Linked DNA regions of Rhinolophus ferrumequinum. Each later gene encodes a partner of the first gene's protein in a complex. Links are inferred from orthologs where the notes say so. Each region holds a gene or a part of one and is shown in the gene's direction. Other genes may lie near its edges. The genes, in order: DDN, WWC1 and MAGI2.

The links.
Region 2: the proteins of DDN (region 1) and WWC1 are in contact, whole or in part, in a crystal structure (PDB 6J69), measured with the Mus musculus proteins. The link is inferred for Rhinolophus ferrumequinum from reciprocal best matches to the Homo sapiens genes DDN and WWC1. Residues at the interface, in NP_001013763.1 of Mus musculus: Tyr227, Val228, Ala229, Pro230, Pro231, Ser232, Tyr233, His237, Arg238, Thr239; in NP_740749.1 of Mus musculus: Glu13, Glu14, Ala15, Arg16, Asp17, Tyr23, Ile25, Asp26, His27, Arg30, Thr31, Thr32, Ser33, Trp34.
Region 3: the proteins of DDN (region 1) and MAGI2 are in contact, whole or in part, in a crystal structure (PDB 6KKG), measured with the Mus musculus proteins. The link is inferred for Rhinolophus ferrumequinum from reciprocal best matches to the Homo sapiens genes DDN and MAGI2. Residues at the interface, in NP_001013763.1 of Mus musculus: Asp222, Arg223, Pro224, Pro225, Pro226, Tyr227, Val228, Ala229, Pro230, Pro231, Ser232, Tyr233, His237, Arg238, Thr239, Leu240, Gly241; in NP_001164217.1 of Mus musculus: Glu308, Met309, Ala310, Tyr311, Thr312, Glu313, Gly315, Tyr318, Ile320, Asp321, His322, Lys325, Thr326, Thr327, Ser328, Trp329, Asp358, Tyr361, Tyr364, Val366, Asp367, His368, Arg371, Arg372, Thr373, Gln374, Phe375.

The regions. Positions count from the first base shown.
Region 1 is NC_046293.1:50,070,491-50,078,464, reverse strand, and holds the start of DDN (dendrin), read left to right. Parts: upstream 1-4,937; 5' UTR 4,938-4,957; coding exon 4,958-5,166; intron 5,167-5,571; coding exon 5,572-7,471; 3' UTR 7,472-7,974. Other genes in the region: PRKAG1 (5'-AMP-activated protein kinase subunit gamma-1), read left to right, coding at 164-290, 397-562, 717-754, 1,024-1,170, 1,276-1,380. UniProt on the Homo sapiens protein: Promotes apoptosis of kidney glomerular podocytes. Podocytes are highly specialized cells essential to the ultrafiltration of blood, resulting in the extraction of urine and the retention of protein.
Region 2 is NC_046307.1:35,410,313-35,417,507, forward strand, and holds the start of WWC1 (protein KIBRA), read left to right. Parts: upstream 1-4,188; 5' UTR 4,189-4,396; coding exon 4,397-4,515; intron 4,516-7,195. UniProt on the Homo sapiens protein: Regulator of the Hippo signaling pathway, also known as the Salvador-Warts-Hippo (SWH) pathway.
Region 3 is NC_046303.1:44,639,349-44,647,414, forward strand, and holds the start of MAGI2 (membrane-associated guanylate kinase, WW and PDZ domain-containing protein 2), read left to right. Parts: upstream 1-4,978; 5' UTR 4,979-5,455; coding exon 5,456-5,756; intron 5,757-8,066. UniProt on the Homo sapiens protein: Seems to act as a scaffold molecule at synaptic junctions by assembling neurotransmitter receptors and cell adhesion proteins. Plays a role in nerve growth factor (NGF)-induced recruitment of RAPGEF2 to late endosomes and neurite outgrowth.

The DNA.
Region 1 (7,974 bases):
GGACACACACACACACACACACACACACACACACACACACACACACACAACTTCCCTCCCCCAACCATCACTTTTCCCTGTTTATAAACACACTCTACGGAGCTATTTAACTACCCTCAGGCCCAGTATGTGGAACTTACCGTTATTCCCCACCTTTCCATAGCTTGTTTGATGCTGTCTCTTCATTAATTCGGAACAAGATCCACAGGCTGCCAGTTATTGACCCAGAATCAGGCAACACCTTGTATATCCTCACCCATAAGCGCATCCTCAAGTTCCTCAAATTGTTTGTAAGTGCTCCTCGGCCCAGTTTTTACTTCTTATATACTGGGTTGGAAGGATATCCACGGGTGGTGTAGGGGGCCTTGAAAATCAAGCTGATGTTTCCTTCCTCAGATCACTGAGTTCCCCAAGCCAGAGTTCATGTCTAAGTCTCTGGAAGAGCTACAGATTGGCACCTATGCCAACATTGCTATGGTCCGCACAACCACCCCAGTCTACGTGGCTCTGGGCATCTTTGTACAGCACCGAGTCTCAGCCCTGCCTGTGGTGGATGAGAAAGGTGAGAGATTTGGTAGAAGGCGAGGGAGGGCTCCAGGGAATCCAGGGTGGCTCTGGGAAAATCTGTCCCCTCAGCTCAGCCTGGAGGGTGATTCTGTGGGCAGGGGAGCCTTGGATGCCAGATCCTCCTTGCTGAGCTGCCTCTGTCCCCCTAGGGCGTGTGGTGGACATCTACTCCAAGTTTGATGTTATCGTGAGTGATTGTGGAGGGCTTGGGAGGTAGGGGAAGGGGTGGTGTGTTGAATGTGGAGAGGGAGAAGAAGAGAGCCTCTTCTGGGACCTAAGAGTTTTAAGAAACTTCCAAGCTTTCAAATCCTATTTGAAAAGGAATTGAATGAGCTGGGTGAGGCTTGTGGGCATGGCTAATAACTGCTCTAAATCCCTCTGGCGGGGTTGGGTGGGCTCAGCGTTTGGGGGCTGGCTCCCTCACTTCCCTGCAAGCACCTTCTCCTCTCTCCCCAGAATCTGGCAGCGGAAAAGACCTACAACAACCTAGATGTGTCTGTGACCAAAGCGTTACAACATCGATCACATTACTTTGAGGGTGTCCTCAAGTGCTATCTGCATGAGACCCTGGAGACCATCATCAACAGGCTGGTGGAAGCAGAGGTAGGGGGCCAGCCATGAGAGTGGGGTTCGGCAAGGCGGGCATGAAGGACTCCCCTAACCAAGGCTGGCACTAAACATGTCTTTCTCCCTTGTTGCTTTCTGCAGGTTCACCGACTTGTAGTGGTGGATGAGAATGACGTCGTCAAGGGAATCGTGTCGCTGTCAGACATCCTGCAGGCCCTGGTGCTCACAGGCGGACAGAAGCCCTGAGCTGGGGGTGGGGGAGGCGGCACTGGGCAGAATGCCCACTCACTGCCTGCCCAGAGCTCTGCGAACCACAGACGGAACCTTCAGAGACTTGGGACTCTGTTCCCTGCTCAAGAGCCCCCTGCCCTTCTACCTGGGAGCTGGGAAGGAAGTAGGGGAGGAAGGAGAATGGATTTTTAGCTGTTCTAGCCTCACACATACACGTGAGGAAAACTTTTCAGCCCAGCCCGTCCTAGCCCGTCCTCTTAGGCGTAGCCCATCTTCTGGGTGAGCTATGGACTCTGTGCCCCTCGGGCAATTCTGATCTCTAAGAGATCCCAGACCTCAGCCAGCCTTTGCCTCTATCTCCATCCCTGACTCCACCCTAAGATAATAGCACAACAAAACTCTTCATAAAAATATTTTTATTCATTTGTTTCATGCTATGTGGAGGAGGCTGAGTCCATTTAGTGACATTTCTTCCCATAAGGGGCGAGGGGAGGATAGTGGGGAGGACGGCCTTTGGGTTCCTGTGCTGTATATGAAGGGAGGTGACTTAGGTGGAGGAGTAGGGCAGAGTGCTTAGCTGAGGTTATTGCTTTTCATGGCAAACTTAATTAAAATGACAGGAACCTCTTCACGGTATTGCAGTGTTTGCTTTTTGTAGTTGATACTACGGCTCCAACCTTCTGACTTCATATGGCTTCTTCAACTCAAAAACAATAATAATAGCATACACGCTCATATAAAACTGTGTAAGACACCATTCTCAGTGCTTGACATAATATTTATGTAATCCTCAACAATAGTGGATATTATTCCAGTTTTATAAATTTAAAAGAAACAGCACAGAGAGGCTTTGTAACTAGCCCAGGGCCACACAGCTAGTAAAAAGTAGAGCTAGGATTTGAACTCAAACAGTCTGGCCCCAGAGGTCATGCTCTTTACCACTACACTAGACTTACTACTACCTTTCTAGATCTCTGTTCATAACTGTTCCCCACCCTATTCCCTGCAGTCGTCCTTAATTACCCCACTTTCACCTCTGCCTGGACCATAGCTGGGACCCCAGGAAAATTTCATAATAGTGTTAGGTCTCCAGAGTAGACAGAATACCTGTATCCTTTAGGCGGAGAGACATGCCACCATCATTAGACTTTCTTAGGGAAGGTTGGATTCTGGATTTTGCTGAACTGTCTTTGAACGTACAAATCCCTTGTGATTCTTCCAAAAAGGAAATGAGCTGGAGATAGGGGGTGGGGAAGCAGCAGGACTGTGGTCTCCCCCTCAGACCCTTTTCCTGTGCTGAAACCATGTGAGCCAAAACAGTCGTACCAAACAACATAAGGATACCTAGATTGTTGGGTATGAGCCAAATTCTGGGTACCATCTCACCACTGCCTTGTAGTTACGCTACCATTTGTTTTGGATATCAAGACCAAAAGCAATTTCAGAGCAACTCCTTTCCCCTACCTACAATGTGCCTGTGAACACAGGCATAGCATACGGGTCCCTCCAAACCAGGCTTCTGACAAAACACGGGGAAAGAAAGCATCAAGACAGCTTTCAGTGCTACATCGTGGCCTCAAAGAAGCCATGCTTGTGCACTTACCTCTTCACAGCTCTCGCAGCACATTCCCAGACTTGAGGGAGGGAAGCATTCCAAGTTATTAGAGTTAGGGTGTTTATGTGTGTGGGGGTGGGTGCATGGAGGAAAGGACAAATGTCTTCTAGTGTCACATTCCATCATGAAATAGGGTTTGTCTAGGGAGGAGGCAAGGGTTTTAAAAAGCCTAGGACTCTGGGGGAACCTAGGTGGAAGGAGGCACCTTCAAGCAAAGAGCCCGCAGTGCAGCTGGTAGGTGTAAAGGGGGGTGGTCAACGGATGGGATAGGGAATGTGTGGGGTTTCTCTAAAGGTCCACCTAAGGGAGCAGGAGGCCTGGGTTTTGTTGCTCTGGTTCTCAGTAAGTCAGTCTCTGCCCAGCAACAACCCTCCTGGCCCTATCCCCTTAACAGAATAGGTCTGTACCCAAAGGGCTGCAGGTACTTTAACGGAAAACCAGTTGGGATCTCCTGCCTCTCCCATTGCCCTCTAAAACCCAATCAGTCTCAGAGTCTGAGGATGGAGCGGAAGGAAAGACAAGTAACAAAATTTGGGAGCCGTGTAGCCTTCTCTTCTTACCTATTCCTTTCAGGAGAGGCAAATTATCCCTTCTATCTCAGGAACCATTGCCACACACACTCTTCCCCCACTTCCCCAAACCCCTCCCCTCCACTGGAGCTGCTGCCATGGTTGCCAGGCATGGTTGCTAAGTCTCTGCATGGAAGGGTTGGCGTGGGCTGTGCTGCCACTAACATTACCATGGTGAATCAGGGGACACCTGGTATAAGCTTGGGGGGGAGGGATCATATGGATATAAGCAACAGTCCCCCAGGACAGAATGAGGCTAAAAGGTGAACATCTTGAGCACCACTTCAGGTGAGGGCTGAGTGAGCTAGGCATTGTGATGGTGGTGACAGGGAGCTCTACACTGAAAAACGGGGGCCACTTTTATCATCAGGGTTGCTAGGGGATTTGGTTTTGGCCAAGGGAGCACACCGTTCCTCCTCCAGCCCCTCTGAAAGGGTGCAAATGCATAAGCACCCTAGTCCTCCATAAGGCTGGCAGAGCTGTGTGGGCACAGAACAGTATGACCCAAAAATTCTGGCTTGTGGTTTGGGGGAGAGAGCATGCTACAGGGAGAGGGCTGCATGGATGCCCAAGGACAAACATCTACAATGGAAGTGTAGGGCAGCTTCCATGGCCAAGACACACTTCTGTGTCCTGCTGTACCAGCAGCCCTGGGCTACAGTTAAGGGTATGGGGGTCATCCTTTTTGAGCTTGGAGAAGTCCCCCACCCCAGACTTGCACAAAAGCTGCATGAAAGCCACTACCTCCTCCCTCCACCACATGGAAGCTGGTTACTCATCTTCTCTCTGCACCCGAACTGCCACTGCTGCTAAAAATAGCCCCCCAGCCGTGGGCCAGCTCCTCCTGCACCCCAACCCCATGGAAACCAGCAAGAGTGGCAGGCAGAGACCTTGAGTTCCATTTCCATCACCTGCCTGTCAGAGAAACTGAAGTCCGAGGCAGGAAGTCAAGGGTAGAACCCTGGTGGTCAGGCACCCTGACAAGCAGGGAAGTGAAGGGTTAAAACGGCAGGAAGGTTGAAGAAACGGGGGCGGGGCAGGTGGCACTGTCAGCTGGCATGAAGAAGTCCCCTGCCCACTTATGCAGGTCCCATCAGGCACGGGGGACAAGAGCAGTGGGAAGGGGCGCCCAATCCCGGGCCCCAGGGGGCGGCCGTGCACATGGGGGAGGTAGCAGTGCGGAGCCGTCCGCGCTGTGTCACATGCGCGCGCGCGCGCGCGCGCACACATACACACACACACACACACACACACACACACACACACACACAGGCATACACGTGTGCCTGGGTATATATAGTCCCCAGTCGCTGGGCCCGCAGCTCTGCAGTGGGCGCCGGCTTCCTGGGCTGGGAGGGGGCTCTCGGGGCGGGTGGGAGGGTGGGGGGCCAGGGTGGGGTGGGGCAGGATGCTGGATGGCCAGCTATTCTCCGAGGGGCCCAACAGCCCCCGGGAGTACCAAGATGAGGAGTCTGGCAGCTGCCTCTGGGTGCAAAAATCCAAGCTGCTGGTGATCCAAGTGAAGACTATTTCCTGTCATTATAGCCGCCGTGCCCCTCCTCGACAGCCCATGGACTTCCAGGCCAGCCACTGGGCCCAGGGGCCGCAGAGCCGCACGTGAGTGAAGGAGGGGTGAGGGGAAGAGAGTGGTGGGGGGTGGAATGGGGTCCGGACCTCCCCTCAGGCACCAGCCAGCGCTGTTGGTCCCCCTTCTCTGTCCCACGCCCTACTCCCCATTCCAAGGGCTGGGACCTTGACCTATTCCAGCGCTGTTTTGGGGGGACAGGAGTGGGTGTGAGAAAGGGCAGGAGGTGAGATGGGGCAGGCGCTATTAAAGTGTGCATGGAGAAATGGTGAGGAGTCCCGCTTCGACTTCAGCCCTCACATATATGCACGTGCACACACACTCACACACATACCTTCACACGGCTGCCCCAAGGGGTCGGCAGCGCTCCCAGCTCCCCGGACCTCGGCTCCCTTCCCCCACAAACTGCTCACCTGGGTTCCTGCTCATTGTCCCAGGTGTGGGCCGCGCCCGGGATCCCCTGAGCCACCGCCCCGCCGGCCCTGGGCCTCCAGGGTGCTGCAGGAGGCGACCAACTGGCGGGCTGGGCCCCCGGCCGAGGCCAGGGCCCGGGAGCAAGAGAAAAGGAAAGCGGCATCGCAGGAGCGGGAAGCCAAGGAGACCGAGCGAAAAAGGCGCAAGGCAGGTGGGGCCCGAAAGAGCCCCCTGGGTCGGCCCCGCCCGGAGCCTCGGAATGCCCCTCGGGTGGCCCAGCCTGCAGGGCTCCCAGCTCTGTCAAGGCCAGAGCGCCTGGGGCAGGTGGGGAGACCACCCGGTCCACTCGCTCAACCGCGGAGCAACGCAGGGGCGGCGTGGGCGGGGCCCTGGGGAGGTCGCAGGCCAGGGCCCCCCAGCTACGAGGCTCACCTGCTGCTGAGAGGCGCTGCCGGGACGGCCCCGCGACGCCGCTGGGACCGGCCGCCACCCTATGTGGCTCCACCTTCTTACGAAGGCCCACACAGGACCTTGGGGACTAGTAGAGGCCCCGAGCCCTCCCAGGCTCCGGTCTCATCCGCCCCAGCTCTGAGTCCGGCCAGGACAGACGGTGGGTGCACAAAGAAGAGGCTGGATCCTCGAATCTACCGGGACGTCCTCGGGGCTTGGGGTCTCCGACAGGGGAGGGGTCTCTTGGGGGGATCCCCAGGATGTGGAACAGCCAGGCCAAGGCCGGAGCCCCGCAAGGGGGCCGCGGAGAAAAACTTGGGTCTGGCTGCTGCTGGCCTGAACAGTGGTAGCGACGGCCACCCCCAAGCCAAAGCTGCTGGGAGCCCAGGGACAGCGACAGCTCCTCCCCGGGCTACAATTGCGACTCCCAGGCCCCCGCGCCCCGCTCCCAGATCCAGGCCCCATCTCAAGGCCCCTGGGGAAGGGAAAGAAGGTAGAGAACAGAACTGGCTCCCCAAATGCTGGATTCCCTCCCTTAAAAAGCAGCCACCCCGACATAGCCAGACCCTCCCCAGACCCTGGGCTCCAGGAGGCACAGGATGGAGAGAGTCCCTGGGTCACAGAGAGGGGGCCGGCCCCGAGACTTTGGAGGGTTGGAAGGCAACCCGCCGCGCCCACACCCTTCCCCGCAGTTCTCGAGGCCCCTCTCGTGGAGAAGGCATCTTTGTCATTGACGCCACGTGCGTGGTGATAAAGTCCCAGTATGTTCCAACCCCTCGAACCCAGCATGTGCAGCTTTTGCCCGCTGGGGTGCCACGCGTTGTTGGGGATGCCCCCAGCCAACCGAAGCCCAACAAGGAGTGCGAGAGGGCCGCGGTCTTTCCTTCCCCTTGCCAAAAGCTGCTGTTGAGCAATCGCCTTTCACACCAGCCAGGTGGGGGGCACGGGTTCGAGGCTGAGGGCGGGAAGCCAGCGGACTCCTCATTGGAGGAGCGCGCCTCCCGCATCTTGGGGCTCCCGGTGGGCGAAGTAAACCTGCGGGATGCTCCCACGCAGCCAGGTAGCCCAGAGCACTCAGCCTTAGGCCCAGCGGCTTTGGAAGGCGCGGGCAGTGCCGAGGGCTCGGGGGAACTGGTGGCAGTCCCGCGGCGGCCCGCAAACCAGTGCTGGGCGCGGAACCCCGGGCCCTACGCCGGGGCCTTGCGGGAAGCCGTGTCCCGCATCCGCCGCCACACTGCCCCGGACTCGGACTCGGACGAAGCTGCGGAGCTCAGTGTCCATAGCGGTTCTTCTGACGGAAGCGACACAGAAGCCTCGGGTGCCTCCTGGCGGAGTGAGCGGACCCGGACCCGGGAAGGCGGGAAGACAGCCGAGCTGAGCGACAGTGTCCGAGACATTCTAGGTGTCATCGGCCGAACCGAGGAGGTCCTCTTCGGGGCGAGGGACACTAAGGGGGACCCCACAGGGAAGTAGGGAGAGGCAGTAAGATGCCCTTTCTTGTATTTGTGTCCCCCAGCGCATCCATCCTTGGGCCCACTGGTCCCCTTTCTTCCTCACAGACTTCTTTGTAACCCTACCTATCCCGGTTCCCATACTCGAAATAGAAGCCGCCCAAGTGGAAAGAAAGGGAATATCTGCGATGTATGATTTTTTTTTTCCGGTGAGGTGAGGGTGAGCAGTAGACTTTAATGCCTGCTCCATTCAGGGCACTGGGGTAAGGTGTTCAGCAAGGGTGGCTGCACTGGGTGTGGAGCTGAGCAGAGAGGCCTGGCCAGGAGCAGGCAGGACGGCAGGGATGGTATAGACATGGGAAGGCAACTTCAGGGCAGAGCCTTCCCACGAAGAGGGAGAAAGTGATGCAGAGGCTTCAGACTGAGGCGACCACGTGACAGAGAGGCCCTTGGCAGAAAAGGAAGGGGTCCAGAAGTAACCATCAAAGTTCACTTCGGTGTCACAAGTCTAGGTTTCCAATCTCA
Region 2 (7,195 bases), on another chromosome or scaffold:
ATTTCCTCATTGGTGAAAGACACAATAGCTCCCGGTCCTCAGTACCCAGAGGACTTTTGGTTGGGAGAGTGGAAACCTCTCCTACCAGCCCCAGGATTGCCTCCTATCCCGGAGAAATTCAGTTCATTTAATGAATTGAACCAGCAAGAAAAAGGGGGGTGGGGTGGGGAGTGGAGGGAGAGCAGGCAGCACCGGGAGAAAGGTGCCCCTTCTTTCATGGAGACAGCTCCGCCTGTTAAATGCCCTGATAGCTAACCTCCAGGTGGGTCTGGGTGACAGCACTGGTGGAGGTCAAAACTCAGGTTGATCTATTATCAGCTTAGAATTCAGAACACCCACTTCAACTCTGCCCTTTCCTTGTAAACACAGCTATGACTTCAGCTATGCCCCCTCCCACCTCCAGCCACACCAGATAAATATGCAATCCAAATGGAAGTCCAAGTTCAAGACTAGTCTCCTGGCTGCTCTTCCACCCACGTCCAACCAGACTGTTAGTGCCCCAAAGTTCCTCCTTTGTTGGCAAGGTAGAGGCCACGCTGCTGTGAATTCAGAAGTAAAACCCACTGGGAGTTCAGTTGGAATCTTGGCTGTATTACTTACGACGTGACCATAGGAAAGTCACTTCATCTCTGAGTCTAGGTTACACATCTGTAAAATGGGACTAATAAGAACTAGGGCAATGCTAGACTTATCCATAGAAACTCCATCTCCCTATTTGTAAAAGAAGTAGGCAATGCTAGACTTATTTTATTTTCAAGCACTGAAGACCCAGAGATAAATAAGAAACCGTCTCTTCTGCCTCATCTCTCATACTGCTAAGGTTTCTTCCACCCTAATTTTCCCAGGCTTAGGACATGTTTTCCCATCATTGGGAAAAAAAAAAAAATCAGTCCATGAGTCCAGTTAAGAACTTCATCTAGTGCATGACTAAAGAAAGGGGACATTATCGGCTCAGCCATAGAAACGTAACTGCATTCCCTGGGACGTGTGGGAGGGATAGCATGAGGTAGGGCGGTACAGTTATGGAGTCGGAAGAAAATTCTCGGCAGAGGTTTCCATAGCCTCCACTTCCTTGAAGAATGCAGAAGCTAACCGGAAACTATTGCTGACCTATCTGTTCCTTTTTTTTTTTTTTTTTTTAAGCTGAATTTCTCTTCCTTCCCATCTTCGTGAAATACATTACCCTGATGCTCTGAAATTCTCTGAATCACATTTGTGGAAACTGGCCTTCCTTTGTTGTTGAGTGGGGGAAAGGATTTAAGTGGACTTCTTTTATAAAAACAAGACAATGTATCCCCGGCACAGGTGTCTCCAGTGAGCTGACTGGATATGAAAGCAAATGAAGAAAGGCTTGGCTTGTGGTCACTTCTGCTCGGCCCCCAGGCCGGCCATCCTGTCTCCTCCAGCTCCACTCACGGGCAGCCAGACGTAGCCCCAGGAGAAAGGCCGGGAAAGGCTGGGCCTCTTGCCTTCAGTTCAGATTCCTGCAGTTCAGTCACCTGTAGAGTAACGTCCAATTCACTCTGTCACGTGGCTCAGCCAGTTTTACCTTTAGTCCCTTTCAGGTTTGTCCTCAGCCTTGAAGAATGCCTGGGGATGATTCACCCGCCATCACCTGGGGCAGGCAGTCATCTGTTTTATTACCTCACCCTGCTTGCAGCTCCTGGGAGATAACCTGGGATTCTTTTGTTTCGGGGGGTGTGTTGGGGCGGGGGAGATGGAGGGAAGTACTGTGGACAAACAGACCAAGGCTTTAGAGAGCCAATTCCTGCTATGGTCTCACTTTCCTACTCCCCAGTTGAGGTCTAAAGGTCTGAAGGAACAGCCATTTGGTAAATGCCAGGGCTTCGGCACCTGGGCTAAAAAAGAAAGTCGGATTTGGCAGTGTAGAAGGTGTTTTCCCTTCACGACCAACACCAGCCAGTGAGAAGGGCTTGGTTGCCAAGCAAGACTAAAACAAACCCAGTAATTAGGATTATCACAAGCAACCGTGCACAATTTTCAGGAAGAGGAAAGGCATGGGCTTGTGTTTGGAACAGAAAAGACTTCATCGGTTCACATGTCGCAGGGGAATGCTTGCTGCCAGGCAGTCATGCTCCAGATGTACCACAGTGAGGGCGCTGGGTGATGGCTGCCTGCGGAGTGCCAAGCCCTCTACACTCCTCACTTCCTACTTAGCTCTTTCAACAAGCCTACTGAGTCTGTATTAGTCACAATGTCTTCCAGACCGAAGACTGAGACTTTGTTTAAGCAAGTTCCTCAAGGTCAAAAGGCTAGAAAATAGGGTGGATTAGGGACCCAAACAGACTGATTCCTGAGCAAAATATTATTCAAGGACCTGCTATAATTAAAAAACGAAAGAGAGAGAGAGAGAGAAAGAGAAAGTATAGGTCAGTATTTGAAAGCACAAGTGCAGGAGTAGGACAGACCTGGGTTCACTGATTAGCTCTGTGTCCCTGAGCAACAGAACAACATCTTGGAGCCTCAGTTTTCTCATCAGTGAAATGGATATAATGAGTAGTATTCCCTACTCCAGAGGGTTGTTGTGAGAATTAAATGAGATCATGTGTGTGAAGCACCTAGCACCATGTTGGTTTTACTAATCCATAGTGGGAGACTATTGATTTTTCTATAGTGAAGGCTTGGCCCAAGCAGAGCAAGTGTCAAGGGCTGTGGCAATGCCCCATGAAAGGATGGGGAACTCCTACTTTTCGGTGTTGGTGGTCAGTCGAAGGCCGTTTCTGGACTTTCGTGCATGGCATCCATGGAATGAAAGAGGGGAGGAAGGGCCAAATGCTGAGCCCATACATTGAGACCACAAACATGGGATTCCCACCCTTGCTCAGCACACCTGGGCCCACCCAGTACAGGATGCTGGCTTGTCAGGGAGATTGTGGGATTCAGCCAAGAGGATACACGGCACTGGGCCTCATTCCTCCAGCCCAGCTTCCTGACACGTATCCAGGGCAAAAAATGGCCAACCACACACTTAGGAAACAGACACGTCCGTTGATCCTCAACTCAGTCGTGCTACTTTCTTTTTTGCATTTAATTACACATTCTTCATTTCTCAAGAAATATTGTGTCGGATTTTTGAATTTCTTCTACTTTTTTTCAAGATGGAATTTTGCTTTGCTTTCTTTACTTCTCTTCATAACACCCTCCCTCAAAACCCATAACATACCTACCTCAAGGATATCGCAGGAAAGAACGCCTGTGAAACTGCTAGCCCACAGCCTGGGACAAGGTAAGTATTCAATTTAGCTAAAAACAACAACATCATTACTATTACTTTTACAAAGTGCGCACCCTGACACCCTCTGGAAGACCTCCCGGGAGGGGCTTCATAGCACTCCTAATTTTATGGACCCCTAGGAGAGCCTGCTACATTTGCAAATACGGGGTGGGGTGGGGGATGGGTGGACCAACGTGGGGAGAAGAATGGACTAAGAGGGAGACAGATGGTGCGTGTGTTGGGGGAAGGGATCAAAGATTCTGGAAAACTTATGTTCCCCGATTTACAAGAATGTTTCTATTTAACCACTTCTTGCCTGACTCCTAATTCTACATAACAGAGAAGCGGGGAGTTGTAAGATCTGGGGCACCTGTGCCAAGAGCCTGGACACGCGGGGTGGAGAAAGCCAGGAGCGTTGGGAAACAGAGGCAGAGCGGGTCCTGCTTTAGCGTCCTGGGGCTGCAGTCTGGGTCCGGGACCCAGGTAACGGGAGGTCTCCCCTTGCCCTGACAGGGGCAGCGAAGGGGCGGGGGGCCGGCGGTTCGGACTGTCCCACGAGGGGGCGCGTCGCGGGCCCTAGGACCCGCCCTCGCGGCGCTGGGCGTGGGGAGGAGACCTGGAAACCCAGGCGCCCGGCGCTCCGCCTCCCGTTTCCGGGGCAGCGCGTTACCTGTACCGCCCTAGCCGCACCTGGCGGAGGCAGAAGTCGCAAACCGTGCGAGCGCAGAACGCGGAGCCGAGAGGAGAAGCCGCACGGGGCTGCGGGGAGGGAGAGGCGGCGGCGGCGAGCGGCGTGGAGGGCGCAGCGCGCCGCGCGGCGGAGGAGGGCAGGCGGCCGCTGCGCTCGGCTCCTTCTGCCCCGCCGGCCCGGCGCGCACCCGGGCCCGCACCGCGCGGCTGCGGGCGCACATGGCCGCGTGAGAGGCCGGCGGCCGGAGGAGCGGGCGGCGCCGGGCTGGGGCCGTGGGATCTCAGGGCCGCATGGACAGCCGCGCCACCCGGGCCAGCCCTCGCTAGGGCCCCCAATCCGCGGACGCCCCCCCCCCCATTATGGTGCCTCGGCGGCCGCCCGGGCCGGGTACAGCCAGCCGGAGCCGCTGAGCCTGGGGCCCCCGCGGCTGCCGGGAGCTGCATGGGGGAGCGCGGGCCGCACTTAGGAAGATGCCCCGGCCGGAGCTGCCCCTGCCGGAGGGCTGGGAGGAGGCGCGCGACTTCGACGGCAAGGTCTACTACATAGACCACACGAGCCGCACCACCAGCTGGATCGACCCGCGGGACAGGTAGGACCCCAGGCGGCCCCCACCCCCCAACCCGGGCCCCCTTCTGTCCCAGGGACCACCAGCCGGGACTGGGCAGGGGATGAGGGAGAGCTCTTCCAGCCTCTTGTGCTTTCTTCAGTTTGTCCCCCCCCGCCTCCGCCGCCCCATCCCCTTCTGGAGCGCTGCTCCTGTCCCTGTGAGCTGCTGGGAGGAGGGGACGGCCAGTGAGTTGTCCCAAGCTGCCCCCTCTGCCATCCCTGGATGGAGGACTTAGGCCCCAGCCGGCACCTGCCCAGAGTTTTGACCTTAAGCTCTAGCCCCGCCCCCCGCCCCCTTTAGAAAGAGTAGTCGGCCGGGGGCGCGGGGAGCGACCTAGCGGAGTGATGCTGGGGCTTCCCGGGGGAGGCTTTCCCCAGCAACCCCAGGGGAGAGCGGCGAGGGGGGATGCGGAAGCATCTGGTTTAGAGGGGGTGGTAGGACCCCAGGATTCAGTGGGAGACTGCTGGAGGAAGGACACTACGCGGAGGGAAAGGCTGCCTGGAGTGTGATTTTTGACAGGTGACTTGGAGGCTCTGAGAAGAGTACTGGAGCAGCCGAGGTGGGGTGGGGAGAGGCCTGGAGGCGGGAGTGGGAAGGAAAGGAAGGAGCTAGGGAGGGCTGATGGAGAGACTGGTTCCCCAAGAATCCCACAGCAACTTGGAAGCTGTTAGGGTGTCGATGGGGTGAGAGGCCTCTGGCAAAGCCCAGCCCATCGCCTCTTTCTCCTGCCTTTCTTCCCCCGGGGACCGGGCTCCTCAGTTCTGCACCAGCACGCTCTGACCTTGATGGCCACCACGCCGGCTGTAGCACGGGATTTTTATTCATTTTTTTGCTGAGGCAGGTGGAGTCTGAGATGGCTGGTGTGGCTCTTAGCTTCCAGACTTTCTCCGGGTTTCCACTGGTTGGGATTTCTTTGCACACACGCACTTCCTCCCCGTGTATGTGTGCGGGGGAAGGGAGGACCACCTTCTGGGGTAGCTTTGTTGTCCTTTGCCCCTGCGGTCTGTGGTCAGAGTGGCTTAGGAATGTGACATTTTCACCTGGTCATTGTGACCTTGGGTGTCAGGTGACTGTAAAGCAATGGAGGTGAATTTTTTGGACCCTTCATCTTGCAGGAGTTGGGATGGAGGTCCCACAAGTCCAGAATGGGTGTGTAGCAAGGGGAGGGGTGAGAAACAGAAAAGCGAAAGATGTGAATTGAGATTTCCAGTAGTTTCTGTAAGCGTTTAAATTCGTTCAACATTTACTGGGTTCCTCTATGCTCAGAACCATGATGACTGTCTCATTAAAGTAAATCTGGAAGAGAACATTTCAATGCTAGAAAGCGTCCCTCAGGCAAGCTGCCTTTACCTCTGAGCCTCAGTTTCCCTATTTGTGAGACTAATGGTTAGCTTGGAAGGGGAGGCGTAAAAGTGGAACTTTTAAAAGCGGGGAAGGACGTAGAAGATCTGAGTCCGACTCCTGTTTTCAAACAATAGAAGACTTGAGGCCCGGAGGTGTGATTTGCTGGTTTTGATCCTTCCACTGCCCTGCCATATGCCAGCTCCGAAGGTCTAACCTAACGTGTTCTGACTCACTCGCCTTCGCCACCTACCTCGGGGTCAGTTGTCCCAGGGACTCTGTTACTGTGTGGGTGAACGGGGCAGCCCATCGTCCTCTCCTAGAACAGATACAAGTTCAAGCTTCTGTGTCCTCCCCCAGTTTAGCTTCCTGAGGAAGAAGTGCTGGCAGCAGCAGGACGTCAGAGGTGGACAGCCTCATACCTGCGCTGCGGAGCACCCCAGGTCATGCATCTGCGGACTTTTCTGGGGCTCTGAGAGGATAACACAGCTGCCAAAAGCTTGTCAAACAACAGTGATTCTTTACCCTTGGAAGAGGGGCCAGCAGTATAGCTTCCATGGAAAACCGACTGGGCTAGAGCATAATTTCCCAAATTTTAGTATTACGGGAATCATCTTCATTACTTTTTGCCACATCCACCTATGCTATTGCTTACGTGACACTTGATTTTAAATCAACTCAATTAGAAATTTTTTTACCACTTTCACAAATGGAAAGCTAGCAATATCTGTTGCCATAAATAGAAAGGATCCTTAAAACTACAGTGGAGGAAATAAAACAACCCAGTGCCATTATATTTTAGCTCAATACTTTGACCTGCCCCCGGCCCTAGCAACAGGCCTGTGCAGCCTTTGTTTTTAGACAGATTGGCAAGCAATGGAGAGGGATTAAAACCGTACTGGTGCTTAATGGAGCTGCTCTCTTCTTCACCTTGCAAGCCTTGGGTTTTGTACCTCCCGGTCATCTCACGTGCATTGGGCTGGTGTGAGCCCCTGAGGTTGGGGTGCTGAGTGCAACCCTGGGGTCACTGTTGTGGTGGGCCAAATTTGGAAGTTTTGGGAAAGAGCTGAGCAGAGGGCATCCACTCGTGGCTCTCTGGAATTTCCCTCCTGCACACCCTGGTAGGGATTTCAGCCTTCTAGTCCTGCCTGGGTGGCCTCAGGCAAATTGCTTGAGCTCTCTGAGGTGTAAGTGCTTCATTGGTGAGAGAAGAGAGTTGATGAGATGGCCCCTAAGGACGCTGCCAGCTCTCAGATATGATTTCAGACCCCTAGGCCTCTCTTTCCCCTGCTTCACTCCATGGCAGAATTTGAGAGGTGGG
Region 3 (8,066 bases), on another chromosome or scaffold:
TTACAGAAGCAATAGGAAAAATACAAATACCCACTTCAACCTTAGCATGAAGGAAGCTTTTAACTGAAAATCACATTGAACATTTATATTCTGCTAAAACGTGGGGCATCCCTTCATACCTTGTGTTAGGTAGGTCTCACCTTTTATAAAGATTTTTCTAGATGAAGTGTACCATGTTTTGGTCTTACTACCCATGGTTCCTTATTCTTCCTCCTCAAACACTTAGAGATCTCATATTGTAGGGATACAATTTTTATGTCTGTTGATCAATTGCTGAGTTTTGTGGCCACTTCTGTTCCATCAGTTAATTTAAAAACACTCAGGGTTAGGGGCTTTCAATGTAACACGGCATTAGGAGTAGGAACTTCAGAGTCACACAGACATGGATCAAATCATAACTCCACTTTTTATTGGTAGTGTGACTTCGGGCAATTTAAAATACGTGAGCCTCAGTTTCCTCATCTGTAAAATGGAATAATCATGTCTTAGATCAGGATCCCTAAAATCATGCCCTGAGATGAGAATTGTGTGCAAGTGATTTATCAAGAAATGCTTCCAGGAAATATAACCCGTAAATTACCAGAGTGAGCAAAATACGGAAGGAAAAGATTTCAGGCAGAATCCTAGCATTTGCATGATCCTGGAGGGGAGACTGGGGGTATAAATTACATCTTAGGTTTTCTTACTACTAGAGGTGATAGGGCTGGACTTTTATGCTGTATATGGCAATCCTTAGGAAAGGATGTCCTTGGAGAGAAGTAAACTCCCAGGTGATTCTCTCTGACTCTCTCTGCAAAGTGAGCCCAGAAGCCCCTTGGGCAGCCTTCCAAAAAGAGTCTCAGGGGCTGGCTATGAGGCACAAAAGAACACAGAAGCTAGAGAAAGGGTACTCAGACCCAGTCAAAGAAATTCAAGGGGATGAGGTGGAGTCGGCCATAAGCATCCACCTCATAGAATTCTTGTAAGGATTGAATGCACTCATGCATTCTTTCCTTTAGCTTTTAAGATTCCTAAACTATTTTTCTTTTGGAATAGCATGCAATATCTAGTGCCATGCTCTGCACATAGAGTGCTCAGCAATGAAATAATTCTTTCTTGACACAGGCATCAAACTCAGAAAGGGTAAAGGAGACAAAGTAAAAATAAAGCGAATGTGAAGGATACCAGAATAGAATGTAACCAAATTAGTCTGATTCTAGCATTTCAAAATGGCTGTAATAGAGCTGGAAACTTGAACTATTTGAGACTCACATCTCTTTGCTTTTATCTCTGAAAAGCTAGATAAAGTTAACCAATCAACCAACTAACCAACAGATAATATATTTATTTGATGACAATAAATCTTACAGAAAATGCTGTTTTCCTCCCTCAGGAAACAATCTAAGTCCCCAGAATACTCCTACACGTAATTTTTTTCTTAAAGGATCTCCATCTTCTTCTTTGCTACTCTCTGTTCCTAGACTGATAATTAACACCTTTAATTTTGATAGCATTTCACAGTTTTAAAGTGTATTCACATTTAAGTGCATTTAAAGTGCATTCAAATTTTACATGCTGCTCACACAACCTTGTAATTCACATAGTTACCCCCTTTTTACAAATGAGGGAAGAAGCTCTGGAAATTTAAGTGACTTTGTCAAGTTTGCACAACTAAAGGCAGGATGCCAACTTCTAATTCCCAGGAAAGTGCTCTACTCAAGGCTCTATACCAGGGGTGTCCAAACTGCGGCCCGGGGGGCCCACTGTGGCCCGCAATCCATTTTTAATTGGCCCGCAGCAGATTCCAAAAATATATTTAGTTTACTTAAATAATCCAGGTGAGGCAATACATACTTCACCTCGAGTGAGTGGCCCGGCTGTTTGTGTATTTTACCGCATATGGCCCTTGGCGAAAAACGTTGAAAAAAGTTTGGACACCCTTGCTCTACACCATCCCTTTTAAATGTTCAGTCAGGAGACAGAAATCACACCATCGTTGGAGCAGGAAAATTTAATATAAAGAATTATTAGCTAGTAAAAGGTGAGTGACTACTAAAAGAAGAGATCACTGAAGAACACTGAAGAAAACTGAATTTAGAGAGCAACCACTTCCTGTAGGGCTGTGGGAGAATATCCAGGGAAGGAAAAACTTAGATGAACCTCCACCCCCACCCCGTTTCTCCCCTACAATGGCTGACAGACAGATCTCATTGAAGATAATGTAGATGTGGCCCACTTGATCACCAAGAAATATGTTGAGGTGTCACACACTGGGCTGGTGAGAAAACCACGAGTTGGGGTGCCAGTGAAACTTGCTAGGAAGCTACCCACTGGAACACCACACACTAGGGAACTGGCCAAACTTACTGGAGGGTATGAAACACTGGTTTCTTGCACACCACTGGCCAAAAAGCCACCCACTGACCAACACACCATAGAAACAAGAAGCACTGGAACTAAAAAGGGGAGCCCCTTTTTTATGCAGTGTTCCTCCAGCACCTTCTGATGACAAGTCCTAATATTGTGCCAATTGAGAACAAGGACATGTTTGTAGCTTCTACTATCACAATTCAGGGCAAAGAAGATGAATTGGGAGCTGAGAAGCACTGAATTAGCTGACACACACCTCAATGACTGTCCTGGGTCCTCATGGGCAAAATACTTTTATGACAAACTCCAGCTTCATTTGTTTTCTTTTCTCCTAATCACCCCTACAATAAAATGCAGACACCTTTTGAACATCATGCTGATTGCTGGTATGACACATGGTAAGTGCATGGAGAGAGAGACAATGCAGTGATTGAGACCAGGTCTGGAGCCAAAAGGGTTGGGTCTGAATATTAGTTTCCCCACTGACTACATTTGCAGCCTGGCAAGTTAATCTCTGTATGCCTCAGTTTCCTTATCTTAAAAGGGGAATGACAATAGTACCTACTTCATTAAGATGTCAGGAGAAATAAATTAATATATGGAGAGCCTATAGGATAACATCTCACATGTAGTTAGAACTTGATAAATATTAGTGTTACCCATACATGTTAGTTTGTAATTGGTGTTTAAAAATACATACTCAGTTCTCATCAATTTCCACTTAGGATCGTATCTCGTAATGCTGAAACCCAACTTCTTTGGGTGAGACTGGGCTATACTACAAAAAGTCTTGCCCACTCCTGGGCACTGCCGGCAGCTCTGGTTTCAGATCCTGGCACTGCCCCTGGCTCACTGAATGATCCTTATCAGTCGCAGCCAACTCCTTGGGGATCCATTTTCTCAAGTAAAAAGAGACACATGGTTAAACAAATCATCTTTCTTCAATATCTCTTCCAGTTCTGACTAAATTCGATCTTCCTCTTCCCCAAATAGAGCTGTACTTGCCAGGGGAAAAGGAAGGAAATTACCATTTTGAGTGCCTACCCACCTAAGTCAGGCAAGCACTTTGCATGCATTACCTGATTTTATCCTCATCACAGGCCTCTCAGATTTAGTACTTTTCACCCTATTTAACAAATAAGGAGACAGGCTCAGAAAGGTCAAGCAATTTACTCAAGATCACACTCCTGGTAAGCAGCAGAGCCTGAATTCAAACCTGGCCTTTTTGTTTGGGTCGACTAAACATTTTTAACTGTACCGCTCGCCTCCCACACTATCTCCATCTCAGACATCAAGAATACTAATTGCTCAGTGCTTTTCATGCTTTGCTTTAAAGAGATGAGTGGGTGTGCGACTTTTTTTTCCCTTGTCTTAAACATATCCTTTGAAAGTAAGGCAAACGAAATTAATTTACCAATTACAGAGATTTTTAAACCACTCCTAACATCTCACACGACATTTGCGTTGAGTGATAATCAGCATTGCTCCTGCATCCCTGTGCCTCAGTCCTCACCTCTCCTCCTGGCTGCAAACTTGGCGAAGGGAAGGAGCCTGGTGGTGGGCCAGCTACCTGAGTGCCAGCCCCCATTCTGCCGCTACGTTCACCCTCGGAGCCGGCCTTCTTTTCCTTCGCAGTCGGAGGAAGTTGTCGGGTCAGATCACCTTAAGGCTTCTTCCCAAGCTACCAGCCCGAATCTGCGGGCATTGCAGGGTGAGGGCGTGCCCCCGCCGTCTCCGCTGCAGTTCCCCGGTTAAACTGTCCATTTCTCTGGGGAGGCTGCTCACTGCACCCCCCCACTCCACACCCAGCCCCTTTCTTTCCGCTCCTCCCAACCTGGAAACCCGAAGCCCCTTTCCCTTGATCCCGGGAATCGCCTTTCTCCAGACACCTCCTCCCTCAGCCCGACGCGTGGGCTCAGCCTGCCCCGGGCAGGGGATGCTACCTCGCCATCCCCGCTGTCAGGGGGCCCCGCCTGCAGTTCTCTTAACTTTCCGCGCCTCCGATGGGAAGTCTGAGAACTCTGCCACGATCTAACCGAAACCGCATAGAGACTGAGTCTCTCTAAACAGCGAGATCCTGCGCCCCCCGCGGCTCCCAGCGCCGAGGCCTCTCCCGCAGCTCCCCAGCGGGCCCGCAGTCAGCCCTCTCACGGCCGGATTCCGCGCCAGGGGGGCCGGCGGCGCTCCAGCTGTAGCGCCCGCACCGCGGCGCGCTCAACACGCGGTCTCGCTAGTTCTGCTCCAGCCCATCCCGCGTCTGAGGCAGACGGAGCGTCCTCGCAGCGCCGCAGCCCAGCGCACCGCTCGGCCGCCGGCAGTCTGCAGAAAGGTCCGCACTGGGCTCGCAGCCCTGCCTGCCCGTCTTCCCACGCCGGGCCTCGGCTCCCCACCTTTCCCGCTCCCGCCTCCTCTCGCAGGCTGCCAGGCGGACGCAGCCTGCCTCTCTCTCTGCCTTCACTACCGGGTCAAGCTGCGGAGGGAGGGAGGGGAGACAGCGGCGAAGCGGTCCCCCACCCGGCGCGCGCGCGCCCCTCCTCCTCTCAGCCTGCCTCCTCCCCTCCTGCCAGTACTGTACAACTAGTGCACACACACACACACACACACACACACACACACACACACACGGACCCGCCGCTGCCACTGCAGCTGCCATGGGTATCAGCTAACACCACACACCCAGGCGCGCGCGCGCTCCCACTCGCACCACGCAGGAGTGGCCCCCGGCATCCCTACCCTCCTTCCCCACCCCCACTCCACCCGCTCACCAGCTCGGCTACTGCTCGCTCAGGCTGCCGCCGCCGCCGCCACCACCACCACCACCTCCTCAGCTCTCCTCTGCTGCGGGGCCACAGCTTTGAGTGTCATTCAAGGGACAGCACAACCTCACCCAAGCTCTCCTACCTCTGCCCAGCCGTCCCTCTCATCCTCCCCCTTCCTCGTCCATACTCCATCCAAAGAAGAGGGAAAGCACCGAACAGAGGGGGAGGAAGGCAAAGTCTGCTCTTCTCACCTCTTGGCCCCCTTGCTCCTCCATCCTCATTCTCTCATCGCCAATCCCCCTACCCAAAGGAACCCCTCAGGAGCTGAGGCGACTCGCCCCACTGCCATGTCCAAAAGCTTGAAAAAGAAAAGCCACTGGACTAGCAAAGTCCATGAGAGTGTCATTGGCAGGAACCCGGAGGGCCAGCTGGGCTTTGAACTGAAGGGGGGCGCCGAGAATGGACAGTTCCCCTACCTGGGGGAGGTGAAGCCCGGCAAGGTGGCCTATGAGAGCGGCAGCAAGTTGGTGTCGGAGGAACTGCTGCTGGAGGTGAACGAGACCCCCGTGGCGGGGCTCACCATCAGGGACGTGCTGGCCGTGATCAAACACTGCAAGGACCCCCTCCGGCTCAAGTGTGTCAAGCAAGGTGAGCGCAGCGGCTTGCTCCGGGCTTTGCCAGGCAGCTGGACCGCTCGAAGCGCGGGGCAATGGAAGGGTGGGCTCGCTGTGGAAGGGGGTGTGTTGCACGGTGGTGGGGTGAGGTCGAGAGAGTACCGGCAGGGCAAGTGAGCTTTGCGGAGAATCCGAATCGGGGCTAAATGGAAGGGAGGGCAGGATGCGGTGTGGCGTGCAACTTTGTTTGCGCAGTTATACCCTCCCCGTTGGAAGGTGCTCGGCCTTGTCTGACCTCAGAGGTGCAGGCGAGCTCCAGGGGCAAACTGAATGTGCGTCAGTGGCATCGCCCGCAGTGGATGAAGAGCTTTCAGGGACGGACGGAGGAAGGAAGGGAGGGAGGATGGGAGAAAAAGGGAAGAAGGGAAAAAAGAGGGAGGGAGAAATGGAAGGAAGGAGCAACTTGAGGGTGCAGCGGCATCACGAGCAGGGCAGGGCGGAGAGGAGCGGAAGGTGGCTGGGCGAACAGAGAACTACGCCCCCCTCCACCCCCTGATTTGGGGATCTGGACCGCAGACTCCTTGACCCGCAGCCATCTCCTAGGAATCCCTGAGCCACTAGTTGACGAAGAAGAGAAGGGACCGATTGCTTTGAGCGCTTTGACCGGTCTTCCTTAACTTTTCCCTGCTTCACTCCTCTGTCCCCCGCCCCCGTCCACAGTCAATCACGTGAGCACCGCGCGTCACGTGCGCACTGACTAACCCCGGAGCTGGCCCGCTGGAGCAGGCTCTGGAAGAAGGCGCGGCACCGGGAGCGGGTTGTAGGGTCAGGGGTTTGGGAGGAGAGCAATGGCTCCCCGAATGAATGTTCTGTACTCAGTGGTTGCCCTCTTTGAGTGGAAGTTCTCTGTGGTTGGACTCACCTCTGCCTTCCGATGGGGACAGGGGTCAAGTTTCTAAGGAGTTATAGGGAAAAGCTCAGGCCACCTATCAGAGGAGCTTCATTTGAATGCTGTGATGAGGACTTAGGGAGACTGGAATCTTGGCAGAACGCTCCCTAACTCTGTCTTCGCATGAAAGAAAATGATGGTCCTGAAGCAGGGACGAGTGCGAAAACGGTTTCTTGGAAAGAAGACAACTTTAACTAGAATAAAGTAGTGTATCTTTGTTTTCCACACGTGATCGCATCCGTTTACAGATCACCGGCACACTTCATGTGGGGTGGGAGGGTACATATGCGTGTTCACATCAATGCAAAGGTTTGTTGGTGGGGTTCCATTGGTTGTCCCGCCTCAAAGATGGAATTGAGCATGTCATTGCCTGCCTTTTGAACAAGCACTTATCTTACTTCGTGAAAACTGTCAAGAAATACTCTTAGGGAGATGTTCTTCTCTATAAAAATAGGTTTTAAAGGCAAACATGTGGAAAAGATATTTCAGGTGAAATTTCTTGAATGTAAATTGTCATGCAAGAAAACGTTTTCGTTGGGGATTCTTGAGTATTAATAGCTGATGACTTGAGATAGGCTAATTTAAACATTGACTTGGAGGTCAACATTGCTTAATAGTGTATGAAATTGAAGAATATGAGTTAAGTAGGAAGGCAAATAGAGTATTTTGGTATTTTTCAAGGTGATATGCCCAATTGTCAAATATGGGGATTCATGTTAACCTATTTGATGTCATGATACTGTCTTATAGCAATAGATTTAAATGCGAAGTTCTGGTTTGAGACCAAGAAATCCACTACATAATTAATGGTAACAAGCTTGGTGTTTATAGTGGAAAGTGGCTGCAAAAGTTAATGCATTGTTAAATTTGACTAACGATAGTATCCTAATGAGGGAAGTGATTGTCCTGTTATAGTTTGCAATGATGGCCACAATTGACTGTTTTATTCATTCGGATCACTACCTGTTGAGATGGACCTTGGCAAACTATGATTCTAGCAGCAAGAATGTGTCCAGAAAATAAAGAAAGGTAGGTTATTGGGTATTGTGGATATCTCCTATAAAATCCAGTGGAAAGACTTTAACTTGAGAAAGGGAGGGCATGAAAGGAATTCTGACGAATTCTGTGATACTCCACAGGCAAAACTAAGATGAGTCTATGGGAATTTTAAAAAGATGAAGCATCTTTATCTTCATGAAGATGAGCTTTCTAACAGAGCTTTCCAAAACTCTGTGGGCTATATTGTGAATTCATGAGATCCCCACCAGTGTGGGTGTTTATGAAGAAGCTAAAATGAACATGTGCCATGGATTCCTATGTAAGAAGGGGATCTGGACTCAGTGTCATTTAAATCCCGCCATGATTCCATCCAACGTAGTCTCTGATCACTGAACT